Linked DNA regions of Struthio camelus. The protein of the gene in region 2 purifies or fractionates together with the protein of the main gene of each other region. This does not show direct contact. Links are inferred from orthologs where the notes say so. Each region holds a gene or a part of one and is shown on either strand. Other genes may lie near its edges.

Region 1 (9,831 bases), on a different chromosome or scaffold from region 2:
ACCTGTAAAATGCTCCGGGTTATCCTCTCTAAATAGATAAATATATAAATAGATACATGGATGGATGGATGGGTGGATGTAAGGAATCTGTCCAAGGGAGATCAAGTTTCAACAACATGTATTTTACATCATACTCCGCAATCTAAGCTTAAACAAATTGCCAATATAAAAAGTTACTGAAATCACTAAGCCTGAATGTGTGGCTTAGTGCCTTTTGTTTAATCGTACTATCTCGCCTTCTATATGAGAATTGTTAAAGGACCAGCTACCCCCCTCGAATATTTTAGTTAGCACTTCAAAAAGGGCCCAGGTTTTATTGCTGTTAATTGGCTAAGATTCGCTTTAAAAAATGGAATCGCAATATCGATTGGGCTTTTATTCCAAGTTCTCTTTTTTTCCAGCTAGGCAAGTGGGAGCGGGGATATGTGCTCCTTACCACGTGAATAATCCCTAGACGCGTTACAAACGCTGCACGGCTCTGAAAAAAATACTTTACTCTTTGCATTAATGAAAAAGAGAAGAAGAAAATGTTGGGAATCTGCAATAACTGTGATGCTGCCCAAGTCCCTCGACGGCACAGAAATAAAAGGGACAAAGGGAGCTAAACTACATAAACCGACAGAGAGCAAAACTCCACATACTCGTAGTCTGGCAATTTTAGTTTTCATCTGGACACCAGGCACCAAGCCTGGAGGCCAGAAGCGAACCTAGGAAATAGCACTACCAAAAAAAAGCCACGACCAACCAGGTAACTTTGTATGTGTGTGTGTGTGTGTGTGTGTGATTTTTTCACTTTCTCACTTCCTTCCTTCCTGAGTTAAAGTGCAATTCAGTTACCGAAACAAAAATACTAGAAAGGAAAACGGAGCAACACTTGCTCCCGGTGCGGAAACCCGCTCTGTGCCTCGCTCGAGCAAACCCTCAGCTCCTCTCCGCGCTACGCACCGCGCACCACAGACCGGCCCAGCCAGGGCACGGCTTCCACCGCGCTGCCCCCAATTTCACTGTCTTATTACTATCACCACTTGCCTCTCGCTTACCCACGTTACCCCAAAGAAACCCCAGCCCTGTCAGCAGCCGGGCTGCAGGGGGGAAACGGGCCTCCGCTCCGCACCGCTCCGCCGCCCCCCGCGCCGCGCTCCGCTGGGCCCTCCCGGCGGCGGCTCCGCGCAGGGCCGCGCAGCTTCCGCCCCGGCTCTGGCCCTTACAAGGGTACAAAGTGAAACTCTACCTGACCGAGCTGGCGGAGCTCTCCTCCCATTTGGCGGGCGCCACCGCTTCTCTTTGGGGCTGTGACCGGCTGCAGAGACTGTCCAAATTGGGGCTACACCGCGCTGGCAAGTTAAGAAATAGGATTCAAGAGAGAGCTATGATAAAGCGTGAAGGTCTCCGACATTCGACTTTTCTTTTTCTTCTAATTTCGTTTTGTTTGTTCGCTTTTTGCTGTTGCTCACCTCCACCCGGCCGAGCTCCCCCCCACCCCCGCCCCACCGCTCACCTCCTCCTGCGCTGCCCCAAAGCGGCAGCAGAAAGTTTGGGAGCCCCGAACAAAGGGGCGAGCTCCCACCCCGCCAGCGCCGCGGAACGGCCCCCAGCCACTGCCTCCTGCCTGCCCCACGGCAGAAAGCACCGGGGGGGAAACGAGAGAAATTATCAATGCTCGAGACCCGTAAACGGGGCGCCTGGGCCCTCTCACCGCGCCGCCGCCGCCTCCTGCCGCGGCTCGGCTCCGCGCAGCCCTCCGGCTCGGCCGCGGCCCCGCCGAGGCAACAAGTGGTCCCAAACGGCGAGTCCGAAACGTCCTTTCACCCCATCGCGCTCCGCGCCCTCCTTGCGAAGGGGAAGGGAATCTGGAACAGACCGTGTTACTCCACATTCCCGTCCCTGCAAAGCAGTCACCTTCAGTTACCTACTTAAAGCTACTGTACTTTATATATAGCTATAAAAAATATATGCATGTGTAATATATATATTGCTGTATTATTTACAATACTCAGCTGCTCACAACGATACCACTTTCTACTGCATGAATTATTAAAAAAAAAAATCTTGCATTACAAAAATAAATCCAAGACTCAAGCGTAACTTCAGTGTCCATATGTCAAAAATTTATTTATCTCAAACTGTGCATAATGGAGTAAAAACTTAACTTGAATATGTACCTGTTATAAGGATGGTATTAGTTCAAATATATACATGGACTGTCGGCAGACTGATTTCAAATAATACAGAGCCGAATCTTTAAAATACAACTACGGAAAATGAGAAAAAAAAGAACTTAAAATATCATCACAATAAATTTACAGAAATATTACAAACCATAAGAAAATATTTCAAACACAGTAATTTCAGGTTGGTTTTTTTTTCTTTTTCTTTTCTCTGAACAGGATGAAGTCTGGAAACAAAAAGTTATTATAAATTAACAAACGGCGTGTGAACCTGCATGGCAATTTTTGCTTTTTAACAAGAAGTAAAAAAAAAAAAATTTAGTACAAGCTAAACGTTTGCCCTTTTATAGCAAACCAAGCCCATGGTTCGCAAGTACTCGTCCTACCTTTTTGCCTTTTGTACAATTTCTAAAACAATTTAAATGTCCAAATGCTGTAAAATAATTTCCTCTCCTCTCGCAGCTGCTATAAATTCAGCTGCCAAAGTCACAATGCTCCAAGTAGACTCTATTTTTAAAAAATAATTGGCAAATTCTCGAGTTGTTTTTTTTCCCTCTCTATATTACCAATGGACATTCTGATTGCCATGTTTACTTTGATAAATACTGTACAAAAGTTGCCTGCAAATATTAAAACATTTTCCTCTTCGCTCTTTGAGTCTAGCTCTAAATATTATTGGTAAAGACTTTTGCAAACTTTCTGCAAAGTTCCTACCGTTTTCACTAGAACTTTTTAAAAGTTTTGTGTAGTTGCTTCCCCTCCAAGATCTATACAAGTTCCTCGTCGGTTTTATTTCTCCCCCCCCTCCCCGCCCCCAGTTTTCTCTGTACAAAAATAGTCCAAAAAAAAAAAAAGTCCAGAATTTCTAATAAAAGTTTTTTGTTTGTTTGTTTTGTTTAGTTTTCCTTTCCCCCACCCCCGGCCCCTTTGTCTTACATATGCGATAGAGGGAGTGTGCCATTAATGGCTGTGCCAGGAACAGGTGCACTCTGGTAGTGTTGGGACATATGAAGTCTGCTTGGGGCAGCTGGTTCTGGTACTTCAGCACCTGGTAGATACATGCTGATCATGTCCCGGAGGTCCCCCGCTTGGCAAGGAGCCCTTGAATGAGACGAGGAAGTGACTACGGGGGGACTGGAGCTGGATTCCGTCTTGACCACCGAGCCCATGGAGCCCAGGGCCATGCCCGGGGTGCCTTGCTGCGAGTAGGACATGCTGTAGGTGGGCGAGCCGTTCATGTAGGTCTGCGAGCTGGTCATGGAGTTGTACTGCAGGGCGCTCACGTCGTAGCGGTGCATGGGCTGCATCTGCGCCGCGTTGTGCGCGTTCAAGCCCGGGTGCTGCGGGTAGCCGAGCTGCTCTTGCATCATCCCATAGCCTCCGTTGGTCCAGCCGTTCATGTGCGCGTAACTGTCCATCCGCTGGTTCACCCCAGCTCCCAAGGTGGCCCCAACCCCTACCCCAGTCGTCATGGTATTGGTGCCCGGCGCCAGTAAGCCCCCTGGCAACGTGTACTTATCCTTCTTCATGAGGGTCTTGGTTTTCCTCCGGGGTCGGTATTTATAATCCGGGTGCTCCTTCATGTGCAGAGCTCTGAGCCGCTTGGCTTCGTCAATGAAGGGTCTCTTTTCCGCCTCGGATAAAAGTTTCCACTCGGCCCCGAGCCGTTTGCTGATCTCGGAGTTGTGCATCTTCGGGTTCTCCTGGGCCATTTTCCGCCGCTGCCCGCGGGACCACACCATGAACGCGTTCATGGGCCGCTTGACCCGGTCCGGGCTGTTCTTCTGGTTGTTGGCGGCCGAGTTGGAGTTGCCTGTGCCTCCCCCCGAAGTTTGCTGGGGGGCGGGAGGTTTCAGCTCGGTTTCCATCATGTTGTACATTCAAACTACTTTTGCCTGGAACCAGCCTTGAGCAGAGAAGCGAGGAGCAGCGGCAGCAAAGTCCCAAGCCGGACTTTTTTTTTTTCCTAGGGAGGGGTAGGAAAGGGGGGAGGGGGACTCCCCAAAACCACACTTGGATCAAGATCAGAATCTTCCTCTTCGCTGATGGATTAATAATGCTAATAACTGCTATTATTACTGCCGGAGCCTCGATTTTAAAAAACTTCTTCCTCCTTTTTCCCTTTTCTCTGTCTGCCTCTTTCTCTCTCTCTCTCTCTCTCTCTCTCTCTCTCCACCTCAGTCTTAAAGAGCCAGCAAACTACTTTACCCCCTTTTGCAAACACACACACTCTCTCTCTCTGCCTTGACAACTCCTGATACTTTTTTGAACAAGTTAATAGACAACCATCCATGTGATGGGGGCTTGTCAGGGAATAAATGTGTTCGCCCTGGCCAATCAGCGCGCGGCGGCTCCTCCACTGAGGACAAGTCTCTACCCCTGGTTTTGCATGAAACGGGGCGGGGGCTCGGCGCCGCCGGGACGGCGCGGCGGGGGGGGGCGGGCCCAGAGGCGGCCCAGGCAGCCACTGGGAAGCCTTTGTATCTCCCCTTCCAGCAACAGGTCACACACGCCTTTTGGAGGAAGTGGGTAAACAGCATTGTTGCTACATTTTTTTTTTATAAGTTGGTGTTGGCTTGGGGCTGGGGGAAGCCATGGAGGGAGCAGAGCGGCGATGGCTTCCCCCCGCCCCCGTCCCCCCTGGGCCGGCGCCCCTCGGCGCGGCGGGGCCGCCCGGCTGCGCTGGGCCCGCGGGCGGCGGCGACCTGCGTGTGCAGCGCTCGCCGCGGCCGGCTCCGCCCGCGCTGACCCCTCATCCCCCCTCACCCCCAAAAGCGCAGCCCCCCGGCCGGGCAGCCCGGGCACAACCTGCGCCCTTCCCGCTTCCCTTGCCCCGAGCCCGGCTCCGTTCAAACCTTGGCACACAGCGCCGAGCCCTTCCCTCCCTCCTCCGGCTTCGGGAAACGCCGGGGGGGGGGGAGGGAAGGTGCCCGGTGCAGCCGCGGCAGGGGAGGGGGTGCCCCAAACGCCGTGCCCACGGAAGCCAAGGGAGGGGGGGGCACCCCTCGGCGGGGCTGGCGGCGGCGGGGAGCCCCGGGCCGGGCCGGGCCGCGGCGCAGCGTTACCCCGCGCCCGTGGTGGCGAGCGCAGCTCCGCCGGGGCGCAGCGGCCGGCCGGGCGGGGGGGGGGGCAGAGCCGCGGCGAGGCCGTTACAAATAGGTAGTTTTGTTTCCCTTGTTGTCACTACACGGGGCCAAACAAAGCGGCGGCTAAGTTTACTTCCACTCTCTTGTTGGGATCTTTGTTGCTAAAACGCACTTGACGACAAAGAAAGGAGGGGAAAGGAGGAAGAAGAGCGGGAGAGGGGGGAGCCTCACGCCGGCCCCGCCGCCCGCGGCCCCGCGCCCGCCCCAGCGCGGCGGCGAGCAGCCGCGGGCCCCGCTCCGCGCCTGCCCCACCGACGGGCCTTCCCCTCCCCTCCCCGCCACCCCACCCCCGCTCCGGCTTTTTTGCCCCAAATCCGAGCACCCCTCACATCTTTAGGCCGCGGGGGATCCGCGGGCAGGGTGATTTTCCGCGGAGGCGGCAGAGCCCGCGGAACCCGGCGGGGGAAGGGGCAGCGCCGTGGGGCAGCGCCGCGGCCCCGGCCCCGTCCGCGGCCCCGTCCGCGGCCCCGCGCGGCGCTCAGGCGCGGCGCGGCGGCGCCCCCTGCTGGCTGCGCCCGCGCCCCGCCGGGAGGTGCCGCGGGAAAGCGGCGTGAGAGCGGGAAGGGAAAGGGGGGGGGAAGGAGCCGGTAATGACATGCCATCTAAATAATAGCACTATATACGTACATACATATAAGAATACGCCAGCAGCACGGATGCATCTTTTTGTGGGTTATGCAAATAAATCCGATCGGATTTAATGTGTCTAATTCGAAAATGTATATAGAACCCCTAGATAAGTGACAGGGTAACCATGGAAAAATAGGTAGAAATTATGAGATCCAGGAAATAAACGGGTTCTGATTGTCCAGACCCTCCTGAGGGCACAACGGCTATTTACTTTCTTATTGTTTACGCTTGGGTCTGCAGTTGATAACGTTATTCCAAAAAAATCTCAGGGATAATTAAGTTTGAAAAAAGGGGGTGGGGTGGGTGGCAGTGGTGTTTGTTTTTCGTACTGAATTGATAACTGAGGGCTGGTGGTGCACAAGCAAGTCTTCTTTTCGCTCGCGCGGTAGCTGCGGCGGGCCGGGCCGGGCCGGGCCGGGCCGGGCTGCGTGTGCTGGAGCGGCTCCGGGGCCTGGCCCGGCCCGGCCCAGCCCTTCCTTAACTGTATTTATCACACAAATAAGGGGTGGAAATACCCAACAATTGTGTTATCGGGAGTATTTACAGCTTTATTTTAATTAACTCTTTTACTTATCGACGCAATAAACTCTGTCTGTCATATATACATAATAACGCGCTATAGAAAATAAGATAAGGGCGAGACCTCTTTTAGAACATTTTCTCCCTTTCCTCTGCTTATATAGGTGTTTGGCTGCATATGTGTACACAGACACACAGAAGTATAGACAGATTGGGATGCTGACTATAAAATAAAAGGAGGAAACGGTACCTCATTTTTCTGTATTAATAACAATACCACCACCACTCTCTGGAAGAATATAGACACGTTGAAAGGGAGGCCTGCAGAGGGATGGTTTAATCTGGGTGGATTTAAAAAATCTTTGCCTTTGGTATAATTTATGGAAATGAAAAGTGCTTAAACAAATAGTCTGCAAATGTTCTCAATGGTGGGCTCTACGGCACATTCACTTTTATTTCCAGGTTATGAGTTTCTGAAAAAGAAGATGAATGCTAGCTACTTGAATTTTATGTTTTTATTGTTCTGATACTCGCTGCTTTCTTTAAAAACCCTGAGGATACAACCTATCGTGTTAACTGTATCAGAAAGAATATACCCATTTTCATATTCTTTTTCCTGAACCTACCAGTAACCCATCTAAAGCAAACTATTAAGCAGTCTTGTGGAGATGGAAGATTGCAGCTCCATTTTTTGTCCTTAGCTGCAAATAGAGGTTTAACTTGCAGTAATTAGGTGAGAACTAGCCAAGCATCTTACTATTATGATGCTTGTTAAAAACGCTTCTTTTCTGCATCTGCATTTGAGTGTGTTCCCCTCCACTCTTAATCTTCTTATGGAAATGAAGGCGAACGGCAGGGAACCTGCAGAGACTTAGAGAATGTCCTTGTTAACTGGAATTTCTCAGCATTGCTAATTAGCAGAGTTTGACGACCACCAGTATTGGGGAAAGCTCTGTTTAGCCACTCACAAACCCTTCCGAGGAAGAGCAGACTAATTTTATTTTGTAATTAAAATCTGAAAAGGGCCCTATTTGACAGTTAGGGCTATGAGAGTTTTATCTCCCTGTGAAATAATTACTGCCTTGATAACTCAATTTTCTGCAAAATGTCAGCTGTGAGCTCCAAAAGTTTTAATTTCATTACATTAAAAAAAAAATCTGAAGACGAAAATGTACAGAGAAATTTCCTCTTCCCCCTCTAATTCTGTACCAGCTCATCACACAGGAGCTAAAGTTAGCCAAGGAAGTTTCACCACGCTAGCCATACCCCTGTCTCTGGGGAATTTCAAATATCACCTGGTGAATCTGCGGTAGCATCCAGAGGGAAAGGTGGGCAGAAATGCCCTTGAACGCTCTAAGAAACACCCACGGCGAGTGGGTATAAACCCACCGAAGGGGCCGGGGCCGGGTGGCTCGCAGGAAGGGCCCTGCGGCCCCGGCCGCCACCAGGCGCGGAAAGCGCGGGATTCCCGCAGCCGAGCAAACACCGCCCGTCCGCGGGAGCGTCCGTCGGGGCCCGGCAGCGACCGCGGGGCGCTGAAACGGGCTCAGGCAAACTTCAACAGTTGGCAGAGGCCGCATCTAGCGCGGCGGCGGTGCTGCGCACACTGCTCCGCACCCGCTCCGCAGTGGGGCTGTCTCAGCTCCCCGATTCCCCCCCCCCGGCGCCGAGGGCCTCCTCTCCGAGAGGCCCGAGGGCGAGGGTGACTCTTAGGGGAATTGGGGGGAACCGAGGCGCTGGAGCAAGTGTAATCCACTCTGCTTACATTTTGGATATTTTTTATTATTATTTAAAACGGTTTAATCTGCTTTTTGTCCCTGCCTGTCCAGCAAGTAGCCCGATTGTCATTCTCAGAAGTGGCATTATATGTACAAACGACCGAGGGGGGCGAGTAACAAATGCTCCAGCCAGACCCAATTTCACCCAATAATTTCATTCAAGGGCTCTAAGGACCCTTGAAAGCTGGGGAATGCCGAGGCAGCTCGGCATTCCTCCCCGGGCTCCTCTTTCATCCTAATTCTCCCTAATGAAACCTAAGGGCGAGCGCACGTGCGGCCGGGCGGCGAGCGCACGGCCGGGGCCGTCGCCCCGCGGCTCCCCCGCGCCGCGGCCGGGCCGCCCCGGGCCCCCGGGGGAAGCGGCAGCTCCGCGCCCTCCGAGCGGCCCGCTTGCCACCTCCCCTCCCGGCTACCGGCCCGCGAACCAGCGCTCAGCTGTTGATTTTTATGGCGTTAAAAAAAAAAAAAACGCGGGGAGGTTAAAAAAAAAAATCCGTGTCCACCTTTCTGCAGTGCTACCAGAGGCAAAATTAAAAAAATAAAAATAAAAAATAGAGAAACCTCCTCAGACGTGTTTAACGTACACAATAAACAGCAGCAAAGCCGGCTCACACACACCACCTCTCAAAGTCGCTTTCAAAGGGCTTCTCAATAAATGGAGAAGCCGATTGTCCAAACACTCTTCCAGGACTCGTCATAAATAGCCAACAGCCTTCTCAAACTCCCTGCGATTTTTTTTCTATGCATCTAAAATAACACTCCCTGGACTTTCTTCCCAGAGGAGAGTATAACTAAAGTCCTCCCCCTCATCCCCCCCTTTTTTTTTTGCTACATGACCCCCAAAATAAAACAGAAAATCAAGCACCAGTGCTGAGGATAAACTCAGAAATTACTGCACAATATAACAGGGTGAAATTACAGTTGAATTGCAGGCCCTTTTCCAGGAACGCAGCCCCCTTGAACAGGATCTTTTTTGGCAGTCTAAAGTTATCTTTCCTTCCTAGTTTTATAAGAACAAATGAGTTTTCTTTTGCCATTGTAGTTGAATGAACTCATGTATATTAAACACAAAACCCCTCCTGAAGAACGCTAACTGCTTTGCTTAAACCCACAAAGGCAAAAAACCTCAGAAATGAAGGTTTCCAATTCCTGAATAAGTCTCCTTAACTCTCTCAGGCTTGGAGAAGATAGAGTTTGAGACATTTTCAGGAAGTCTTAATGCCTGGAAGGAGATATCTTAAAGATAAACCCATTGTCTTTTGCTGAAGTTTAGGTTGCTATTTTATTTCCCTCTCCCCCTTCACCCTCTTTGTATTGTTTTAAGAAAAACACGGTGTAAGAAAGTATCTGTCCCTGAGATCACAAGTGTCACCCAAATCAAATGAAGTCCTTTTGGACATAGCGCAGTTTTGATGGAATTATTCTGGCCCCTCCATTGAAATCACAACGATTCCCAAAGAAGCTCTTACAATTTCAATGGAAACGCATGACACACAGCCTGGGGTACTTCAAGGATGCTTCTCTCCTCAGTGCACCTCAACAAACCCTGGAATCCCGAGGCATGGATTGAAAAGTACATTAAAAAAAAAA
Region 2 (9,501 bases):
CATAATGCTCTTTTGTCTGCAATATAACAGCACAGAGCTAAATCAGGAAGGTTTCCTTCTAACATGAGAGCCATCCAAGACCACTGTTTCCAAAGGTGGTATTCTTCATACTGATTTGACTGGAGAAGTGGCAGAGTCAAAATAGTTGAGAAAGAGAGCAATCGGACCCTGCAAACATACCCATTAAGTACCAGGGTCATTCTTAACAGAGCCTGAACTTTCCATTAAGGACTGCTGCCCCCAAAATAGTCACTGCTTTACAACTGTAAACAAGATTGATGTCTTTCAATACTTATCAAAGCCAAGCTGGCTCTAATACATAGAAGTTGCTATGCAGCAGTTGCTTCAACTTAGTTGAACACAGGGGGAAGGTTAAGAAAGGAGCAGAGAGGCAGAAGACAGGAGCTTGAGACATACTATGGCTTGTATTATATGCAGAAATTGAGAATCACAGTCATGGCAAAAAAACCAAAACAAAAAAAACAAAGCTTCTCTGCATGAGGTAGCCCTTATTCTCCATTTGCTTGTCTTAAGCAGCAGAGCCAGGCAGAAAGGATGCAAATTACTCCAGCAAGCAGTAAACTTCACTCTTCTTTACAAAATATTGATGCCTTATTTACTAAACAGTTATTTGTCTATTTGTCTAAGATTATCTAAATTGCAAAGGCTCCTCTAATGAGCTATTTTCTGTTTCTCCATGGTTGAGCGTATCAGGGTAGGTCAAGTGTTTCTTAATCATTCTAACCAAGTTCACGCCTCTTAGTCTTATCAGCCGTTTTCAAGGTGTCATTCTCAAGATTTTTACCTTACTGTCACCCCCTTGCTACCTGAACATGGCTTAAATGTTCAGGATAAACTTTAAACATGTTTCACATTCCCTTCTGTTTCACTGCAAGCAAGACCCATCAGCTTCTCCCTTCTGTTCTGTTCTTCTTTGGCCTAAGAAGAGAGCAGGAAGAGAGCAGGATACAGGCTCTGTACTTTACTCAGAACATGCCCAGGTTAAAGGACACTGCCATCCCTATCTACTCAATAAGAAGCTCCAATATAATAATAGAAATTATAAAATTCCATCATTGTACATGTTATGTAAACAGCCTGCTGCGTTTTTACTTTGTGACCTCCCGGGTCAAACTGCAGTATTAGAGGAACTCACAAGAACACAAGCATGTGAAAAATTCTACTCAGTCCATGCTCGGCATTAGTATCAACAGGTAGACCTATTTTTGATATGGTGCTGTAATGCAGACTTTTAGTCACTTCTAGGCATGGAAAACAGTGCTTTCAACATTCAAGGTCTGTATACAGACCTTGAGAGGTACACCAAGCAATGTCTACTTTGCCGTGTTCTTATTTACGCCAGAACTGAGAAACAAGCACTGGTATAAAACAGTCACTGAAAGGAGCCTATAGCTCCCAGAAGACACTCTCTGTCCAGGAAGCTAGGCAGATCCTAACTGGTTTTAGAGAGGTTTAACCCTCCCAATTAGCAGTTGACTAATGTAAGGTCTGGAAAAAACGTAGCCAATTACATGCTGGATAGGAGAAAACGCTCCGATCAGAGCATTCCACTCCAGATACTCTCCAGGCAACTGGAAAGAGACCTCACTATAGGAGCGGGACAAAAATCTGTTTCAATTCTACATCCTAGACCTATGAAAACAAAGTTTCCCCTGTTACAATAAAGGGTCTAGCAAGTCAGATATATGTGCTTCTCTGGTCTAGAGTTATGCACTTCCAGGCAGAAGCTGGAATATACTACAAAAGGTACACCTTTGAGAACTCCAGAGAGCACAGTATTTGCTAAACAATTCACAGTCCAGACTAGCAGCGTATGCCAACATTAGTGTCAAAGCCTAGACCTCACACTGCTGAGAGAGCAGTTTCAAGAAACAGGCAGACAGGTTGTGCACATTAACACTACTTGCAGTATTTCCACATGCGCTTTCGTGTACACAACTCACACGAACTTCTTTATTCTTTCCCAATTTCAGTCTGATGCAGGCAGAACCTATCACAGTGTTTACAGTTGCAACACTAAAGAGTAATTCATAGCCTGTGTTCAGAAAGATTATCGAGTGCTCCCTGCAGCAGGCAGCGTCCAGAAAGTATCCTTATAGAGAGGATGGCAGACGGGAAAATTTTGCCTCTCAGACTGAAATATCCAAAGCTTATTTAAATCAAGTATTTAAACAAACACACACCTGTCTTCTTGGACCTTGCTCAAAATTCCAAAGCTACCCAGCTGAGTTTTATTTCTATACTGCATAAATATAATGCTACCTCAAAAATAACTTTTGTTAAAAGTAATGCTGTAATTTGAAGCTAACATTAACATAAGGAAGAAGAAGCTACACTGCCCAATGAAGTGCATGCCAATGAAGGACCAGACAAGGGAGCTATAATCACTATTTGCCCTTGAAGCTGCTGATCTGCACGCAAATATGCCCAGCACGGTTCTCTTGTGAACACCAGTAAGGAGGAGACAGGAAAAAAGAAGAGAGGGGAAAGAAAAAAAAAAGTTTTGCCCAGATCACTATTCTGTTAACTTTTTCTTCTCACGCTTTGTTCAGCCAGCAACACTCTTCACCGAGAGGAATAGAGCTAATTATATGCGTTATTTTTGAAGTTTGCACAGAACCTACCTGTGGGGAAAAAAAGAACTAAGAAACTGAGCTTTTTGAACTGACTTAAAACATTTCAACTGTCATCAAAAAAAAAAAAAAAGAAAAGAACTTATTGCGCTAGACTTAATTTCCCCCTGGTTCAAACTCCCTTATTTCTATGAGCAAGAAAACATTAAGTGAAAACCGACTAGAAGAGGAAAGGAAATGATTGCACACCACTACTGCCAGAGCATAACTGTAGTGGAGGCAAACAGATAGGGACACTTATCTCCCACGACCAGAAAACATGCAAGAAACAACAATACAACCATCTCCCAAACTAGGTGTCCTAAATCCACTTATCATGGCCTAGCATTTAGGCAGAGCAGGAAGCCAGCCGACTAAGGCTACACTCTAATCCTAATTCTGCTACTGGGCAAACCACTACTTACAGTGGTAAGGAGGAATTCTTGATTATTGCTTGTTGCTCTTCTTTCGGTGACTAGCTTTTCAGCAGCTTCAGGTTCTCCTTCTAGTAACAGGGATTATATTTCCCATCTAGTCTCCTATAGGGTTTACAAGGTTTGCAAGATCAAGTTTGCCAGGTTTTGCTAGAGTGCCTCTCCTGTGGAGATGCCGAATACCTAATCTGCATCCAAAAGTTAGAATGAGCAAACAAGACGGTCTTGGAAGCTGTTACCTACTTTTATCCACTTTTCTTTTTAATCATTTCTTTCACATATGTGACTTTTCAATAAAACAAGTTTGTTTCTAATATCTCTTCATCAGTGTTTATCTCTCTCAGATGCTACCACCTACCCTCATTTTCTGTTCTTGCGTTTTTAATATACATCTAGTCATATATAAAATTAAACTTACTCCTTATGTCAGGAGGTTTGAAGCCCATAAGCAATAGCATCTTTTTAAAGCTGCATATTACCAACAGCTCTCAAACCAAATATAGCGAGGCCTACCACTTTTGCAGAAAAGTTATTACCAATTACAACATACAGTTTTGGCCAAACATTAGAAAAACAGCATCTGAATGGCTTCAAGGAAAATCTTTATCCCATCATCGCAGAAAGTTTCTACTCATCTGGTTTTAGATGACAGATCGATACCTGATACAAATACTATTATTACTTCAAGTTAGCTGTCCTTTCCCAGCAACAGAGGAAAAACTCATGCCAATTTTGTGAGCACTATTAACTGCCTCCAATATCAGTGACCAGGGGACTTATTTTCAGATCCTCATCTGCATAAGCACAGAAGTCCTCTGAGGACTCTTTCTTTTCATAAGGTCATAAAGGGGCAGTAAGAAGACCTAGCCTCCCTCCAGAGAGGCCATCGCACGTGCAAGAGGCTGGAGCTGCTCTAGTCCTTTTCAAGGCTACACTGCCTGGGAGAAAAAAAAAAAAAAAAAGGAAAAAAGAAACATTTGCTTGCGATGTCAACAGGCTATGAAAAACCGCTTAGCGTCGCAGGCCCTTTCCAACGAGCGCAAGTTCCGCTGCGCTGAGGCTTAACCCGCCGAACGAGACAGGAACCTTCTGGGACTAACCTGAATTTTTGTTTGTTTTTGTTTTTTAAAAAAACAAAAAAAAAAACAAAGACACACACGCATCACAACACTGATACAAAGAGCCAAAAAAGCAACCAAACACAGTCACAAGGCGGGGGAGGAGGGGGGAGAGCCAGAAATCCCTGCAGGACAGTTACAGACCCCAACACACCTTCCACCCCGGCGAGCCGGGCAGGGCCCCCCCGCGGGGCCCCCCCAGACCCGGCCAGCGCTCTCGGCGGCGGCCCCGGGGCGGCCCGGCCGCGCGCAGCAGGCCGCGACGCCCGCGGGAAAGGGGGCGCCGTGTCGCCGCTATGTCGCGATACACCGCCCCGCTCCCCTCCCCCGCGCTCACCACACGAAGTCGTTGCTCTTGTCCTCGTAGGAGTTGAGGAGCCCGTTGCAGAGCGGGGCGAGGAGCGGCCTCTTCCTGCTGCCGCCGCCCGCGCCGCCACCACCGCCGCCGCCGCCCGCCGAGGAGGCGCCGCCGCCGCCGGGCCGCGCCGCCGCCGCCAGCCGCGCCAGCCCCGCGCCCGAGCCCGACACGGCGGCCGCCACCAGCACGGGCCGCGCCGCCGCGCCGCCCGCCGCCGCCGCCGAGGAGGAGGACGAGCCCGGCGCCATGGCCGAGGAGGAGGAGGCGGCGGCCGGGGAGGCGGCGGCGGCGGGCGGCGCGGCGGCGGCGGGGTGCGGCGGCGGCGGCGGGCGGCTGCCCGACATGCCGAGGCCGGGCGGAGCGGGGCCCCCTCAGCGCATCCCCGCGCGGCGCCGCGGGAACAATAAAGTTCGTTCAAAGAAGGGGGGGGGGGGGGGGGGAGGGAACCGCCGCCGCCCCCACGCCCGCGCGTGCTCCCTCTCCGCTAGCCTCTTGTTGAATCTTTATTGACAGGCGAACACTGCCTCGCGCATGCGCGCGGCGCCGCCGCCGGGCGGGGCCTGCTCCGGCGCTGAGGCGGCGGCGGCGGCGGTGCTGAGGGCCTGCTCGGCGCCGCCGGACGGCACCGTCTCCACACGGGAGCTCACGAATTATAAAAGGAAACAAATTCCCTTTACCCGCCCCCCGCTGCCTTCAGGGGTTGAGGGCCGCGTCGGCGCCAGCCCCGGGCCCTCGGCGGGGCCCGGCCTGAGGCAGGGGCCTCGGTGACAGGCCGCTGCCGCCTCTCGGCTTGGCCCGACGGCGGGCGAGGAGGCAGAGCTGCGGGCAGAGACCGGATTTCTCCTTTCATTTCTCTCCCCCAGAAGCATCCCGCCTGCTTTACATCAAGCCTGTTGTCTGCTGTCAGCTTTTCACCTGCCCAGAGATGTGCGAGGTGGCTGCTGAAAGTCTAGGGCGTTTTCCCTGAGGACGGGTAATCCTAAGGCCAGGTCCTGGGAAGCGCCCGGAGAGATCCGCGCTGCGGCAGTCCTGGGAGCGCAGGTGGCCGAGCGCACCTGCAGTCAGGCGTAAAACCAGCAGGAGAGCTGGTAAAACTGGTCTGAGAGAAAAAGGTGGCTGCAGGTAGGCATTGCTGGTCCGGAGAAGTCTCTGGCAAGCAGCGGGAACGCCTGGCTTTCCCAAAAAGGGCGCAGCAAAACACAGCACTTGGATTGAATGTGGAGGGGTTGATGCACACGGACAGTCCTGGAGGGCTTGTCACTGACCTGCCCTTCCAAGCTTGTTTAAATACGTTTAAGGTATTTGCTTCTGTGTACTTACCCCTAATGTTGCAAAACAAACACACAAACAAAAAAAAACCCCACACACCCAGAAACAGTCTAACAAAACCAAAACAGTCTGTCTGCAGAATGTTAGTACAGAATAAATCAGTGCAAGCCAGGAAATTCTAAGGAAGCTTCTCCTTATCGTTCAGATTAGTAGCCTCACCTCTACAAGATAACGTGCCATTATAGTCACTTCTGTAATTGAAACCTGTGCTGCTGCAATTGAAAGTTTCCTGTTTGTAGTTCTTGGTGTGTTTTTTCAAAGCAAAAGATTCTGTTCCGCTACCTTCTATAAATATCCTCCTGACCTTGGCAAGTCACAGGACTAACTCCATAAAGTCATTAAAACACATCAGTTCCCACTGGTTTCAGTGGGAGTTAAAGAGAAGTGCCTAAATACCTTTCTTTGAGCCCAACTGTTGATGTCTGTGTGCCTCATATTTCCTTTTGCTAAGAGAAAGAAAAGCACCGTGTCCTTGTCTTCCAGAGGGAGGAAAAGCTTTGTGGATGAGTGTCTGCAAAGGACTGTCAGATTTTCCAGTGGAAGAACAAAGTAGCAGTAGTAGTAGTATAGGCAATAACACGTCTACATGCTTCATGTTTAGTGAAATATTGGCTGGTCTTTGAAAAGTCTAGCTATTCTTTGGTACTTCATGTTACTTTCTGAGCTCCAGGGAGAAAAAAATGACGCAGAGAAAAGCCTTTAAAGATCAAACATTCAGAAGTGGAAATCCAACATAAATATGAAAGAAATGGAGGGGCCAAATCATGCCCACTTTTGCCCATGTGTAGTTAGGCTCAACAGCCACATCTCCACCCCCACGGCTGGTAGAGAGTGTGAAACCCAGCACACAGCACCAAAAGATCAGTTCCCCAATACTCGAGCTTTTAGGAGTTCACTGTGGACTTTCGGAGGCCCCTGAAGCTAAGACCTTCTCTTCTCTGCCCTGATATATACTGAACAGCCTCTGGCTCCTGCATCCGAAACGTTTCTTTGTTGGGGTTACCTTGCAGTACCAGTTCCCAGACCAATTTATGCATCCTAAGGGAAGATTATATGCTACCTCTCGGCGACACCTGTGCATTGTGCTGGAATAAAGGGCATGGCAAGTCTCCTGGTTTTAAAGTTCACCACAGCAAGCGCTGTGGAGCGCCGGTTATCTTCCAGTCCCCGCTAGCACAACATGAGCACTAAGAATTAATTTACTACCGTCTAAATATTGACAACGCTGTTATTAGGCTCAAAGGCAGAGATACAAAAGGAAAATATTATAGATTAGCTGTAAGAGGTTTTTCGCTGTTTCCTCCAGTTAGCAGCATGCTGGACGCTTACGCTGCCTCATGGTTGAGATCCCATACTTAAGCAAAACTATGGTGCTGGGTTTAGTGCGGTGACGAGAGGCCCGGTGCAGAGATATCCGCACCCTTATATTGCACACTCTTCCTAGATTCCTGTTCAGATTCAAACCTGCCTTCAATGGATTGCTTGTGTTTCCTCACTTAATCTGGATATTACCCTCGTATGTCCTCCTCAAGAACTAGTCATTGGGCCTGTGTGCCTTTGAAGGCATGCGGATCACAGCAAGGCAAGCACCTCTTGCCCAGGCAGTAAACAAGAACTGTTAGTCACTGCCCTGAAACTTAGAGAAAAAACAAAATAGACAGTTACTGTGGGATAAACTGTCTCCAGCCCTAGCCTTTAGTGGCGAGTTTGTTTTATACAATGAAACTGATATTTCTAATAGACGTGCATACTGTCAGCGATACTCTGGGAGTAATGCAAGGAATTCAATAATAGCTCTTGGGTGCCGGCACACAGTAGGCTGATACTGTTTGGGGCTTTGGGGGACTGGCTGCAGGTGTCGGTCTGCAGGAACACCATAATAAAGATTTTCCTCTACCTCTGAAACTCCAGTTGATTGTATTGTACCAAGCCAGCGTAGGTCTAGTGATCGCTTTTGTGAAAGAGACATTTCCCACCTCTGGTCAGATGTAATTACTCACTCTGCAGACCTAGCTGAAGTAAATTCCAATATGACAGAGACGTTCTCCTGCACTTTCCTGTTTTGGAAATCTGTGCAGAGCCTCTACATTTTAGAAGACTTTTCTCTTACATGGTTCTATTTTCCAGCCTCCAAAGCTGATTGCTGACCATGGCCTGAACAGTGGTGTATTAGTTCTTATCCTGTGCGAGGAGGGATGCACCAGCTCTAAAGGAAGGAATAGACAGATAGTGTCTATAGTTGAAGGAACCTTAAGAACAATATAGGTTCTGCCCTTCTGGGTACATAAATCCTACTTGTTATAAACCCTGAGTCTGTGACTTTTACGACAACATCTCCATTTACCTCCATTTACCATTCACCTACAACAACAGGCAGTTGCAGTGCTCATGCCTGCTGCTAGCCCAGCCAGAGAAATAATTGAGAACATGCTGCATGTGGTCACCAGGGGGACGGCGACTTTTTCCACGTCAAAGGGTGTGTGTGCCAGATGTTTGTGGGAAGTGACAGTCCCCTCCAGGCTCGGCTCCTGATTGCCAGTGACTCATTATGGAAATTACTCTTCCATACGCTTCCGTACGCTTCCATTTCTGAGGCCGTTGCTGCCACCTAATTCCCACTGGGTCTGTTAGTCCACTCAGCAGTGCTGCAAACGCTGCTATGACCTGCCACCCCTGGCTTGGGAATTGCTGCTCCAGAGGGCTTTAGAGAGCTTTAACCTCCCAGCTAGCCAGTGACAGGAATGCCATTTCTCCCATTTTCTAGCCAAAGAAAATGAAGCATGGACGGATTCCTCACCTGGTTACAGAGTCGATGAGAACTCTTAATGCTCCATAAATCTGAAAATTAGGCTGTCAGCAACTTCTCCTCGAGCAAAACTGCAGCAGAGCTATCCAGAAGATGCAGTTTCTACCTGTTAGGTACCCTCCTTCCCCTATTTACTGGGAGAAACCTGGACATGAGTTTCCAAACTTGAACTCAAGAAGCCCGACCCAGAGATGTGGGGATCTGGAGGGCATGATCAGACAGGCCCTGGCACCCAGCGTGGAGGGCTTCCCCTCAACTTAGGGTGCTTAGTGATATTTATTATAGTTACAGTTATGCACGGTTACTAGCAAAGGATTTTTTTCAGTTCTTTATAACAACACTTTACCACTTCCAGATGGAACTTTATGCATTAGCCCTTGGCCTAATTCCAAGTAATTGCAGAGACTCTGAACAAAAGCGGTTTGGCCATTTTAAGAAATGGAGAGGCAGGAAAATAAAATATTAACATTTACCATTGTATCAAAAAAGTTCTGATCCTTAAAAAAAATTCTTGGTATCTGGGAGCGGTCTGGTCCCTTCACCACAAGCTACATCCTTCAGGTCTTCTAAAGTGGCCTTTGACTTGACAGAATTACAAAAGGAGGTTAAAATTACTTGGGGAATGTCCTGCCATATTGAAATACCATCTCCAAAGTTGCCGGGTGCTGTGGAGAGCCGAAGATCTCTGTTCGAGAAATACTATTGCAACCTCCATGTTAATGTGTGCAGACTGAAGTGAAGCTACCGAAGGTCTGACTTTGTTTCTGACCTATACGAGCAGAAATACCTGATTCACTGCTCAGAATTGTGAAATCTGTTTTAC

Evidence for each region.
Region 1: the proteins of COP1 (region 2) and SOX2 purify together in Homo sapiens (affinity purification with western blotting; 3 studies listed by BioGRID). This does not show direct contact. The link is inferred for Struthio camelus from reciprocal best matches to the Homo sapiens genes COP1 and SOX2.

Annotation. Positions count from the first base shown.
Region 1 is NC_090950.1:23,947,593-23,957,423, forward strand, and holds SOX2 (transcription factor SOX-2), read right to left. Parts: upstream 4,495-9,831; 5' UTR 4,049-4,494; coding exon 3,101-4,048; 3' UTR 2,087-3,100; downstream 1-2,086. UniProt on the Homo sapiens protein: Transcription factor that forms a trimeric complex with OCT4 on DNA and controls the expression of a number of genes involved in embryonic development such as YES1, FGF4, UTF1 and ZFP206. Binds to the proximal enhancer region of NANOG.
Region 2 is NC_090949.1:5,433,777-5,443,277, forward strand, and holds the start of COP1 (E3 ubiquitin-protein ligase COP1), read right to left. Parts: upstream 4,888-9,501; coding exon 4,523-4,887; intron 1-4,522. UniProt on the Homo sapiens protein: E3 ubiquitin-protein ligase that mediates ubiquitination and subsequent proteasomal degradation of target proteins.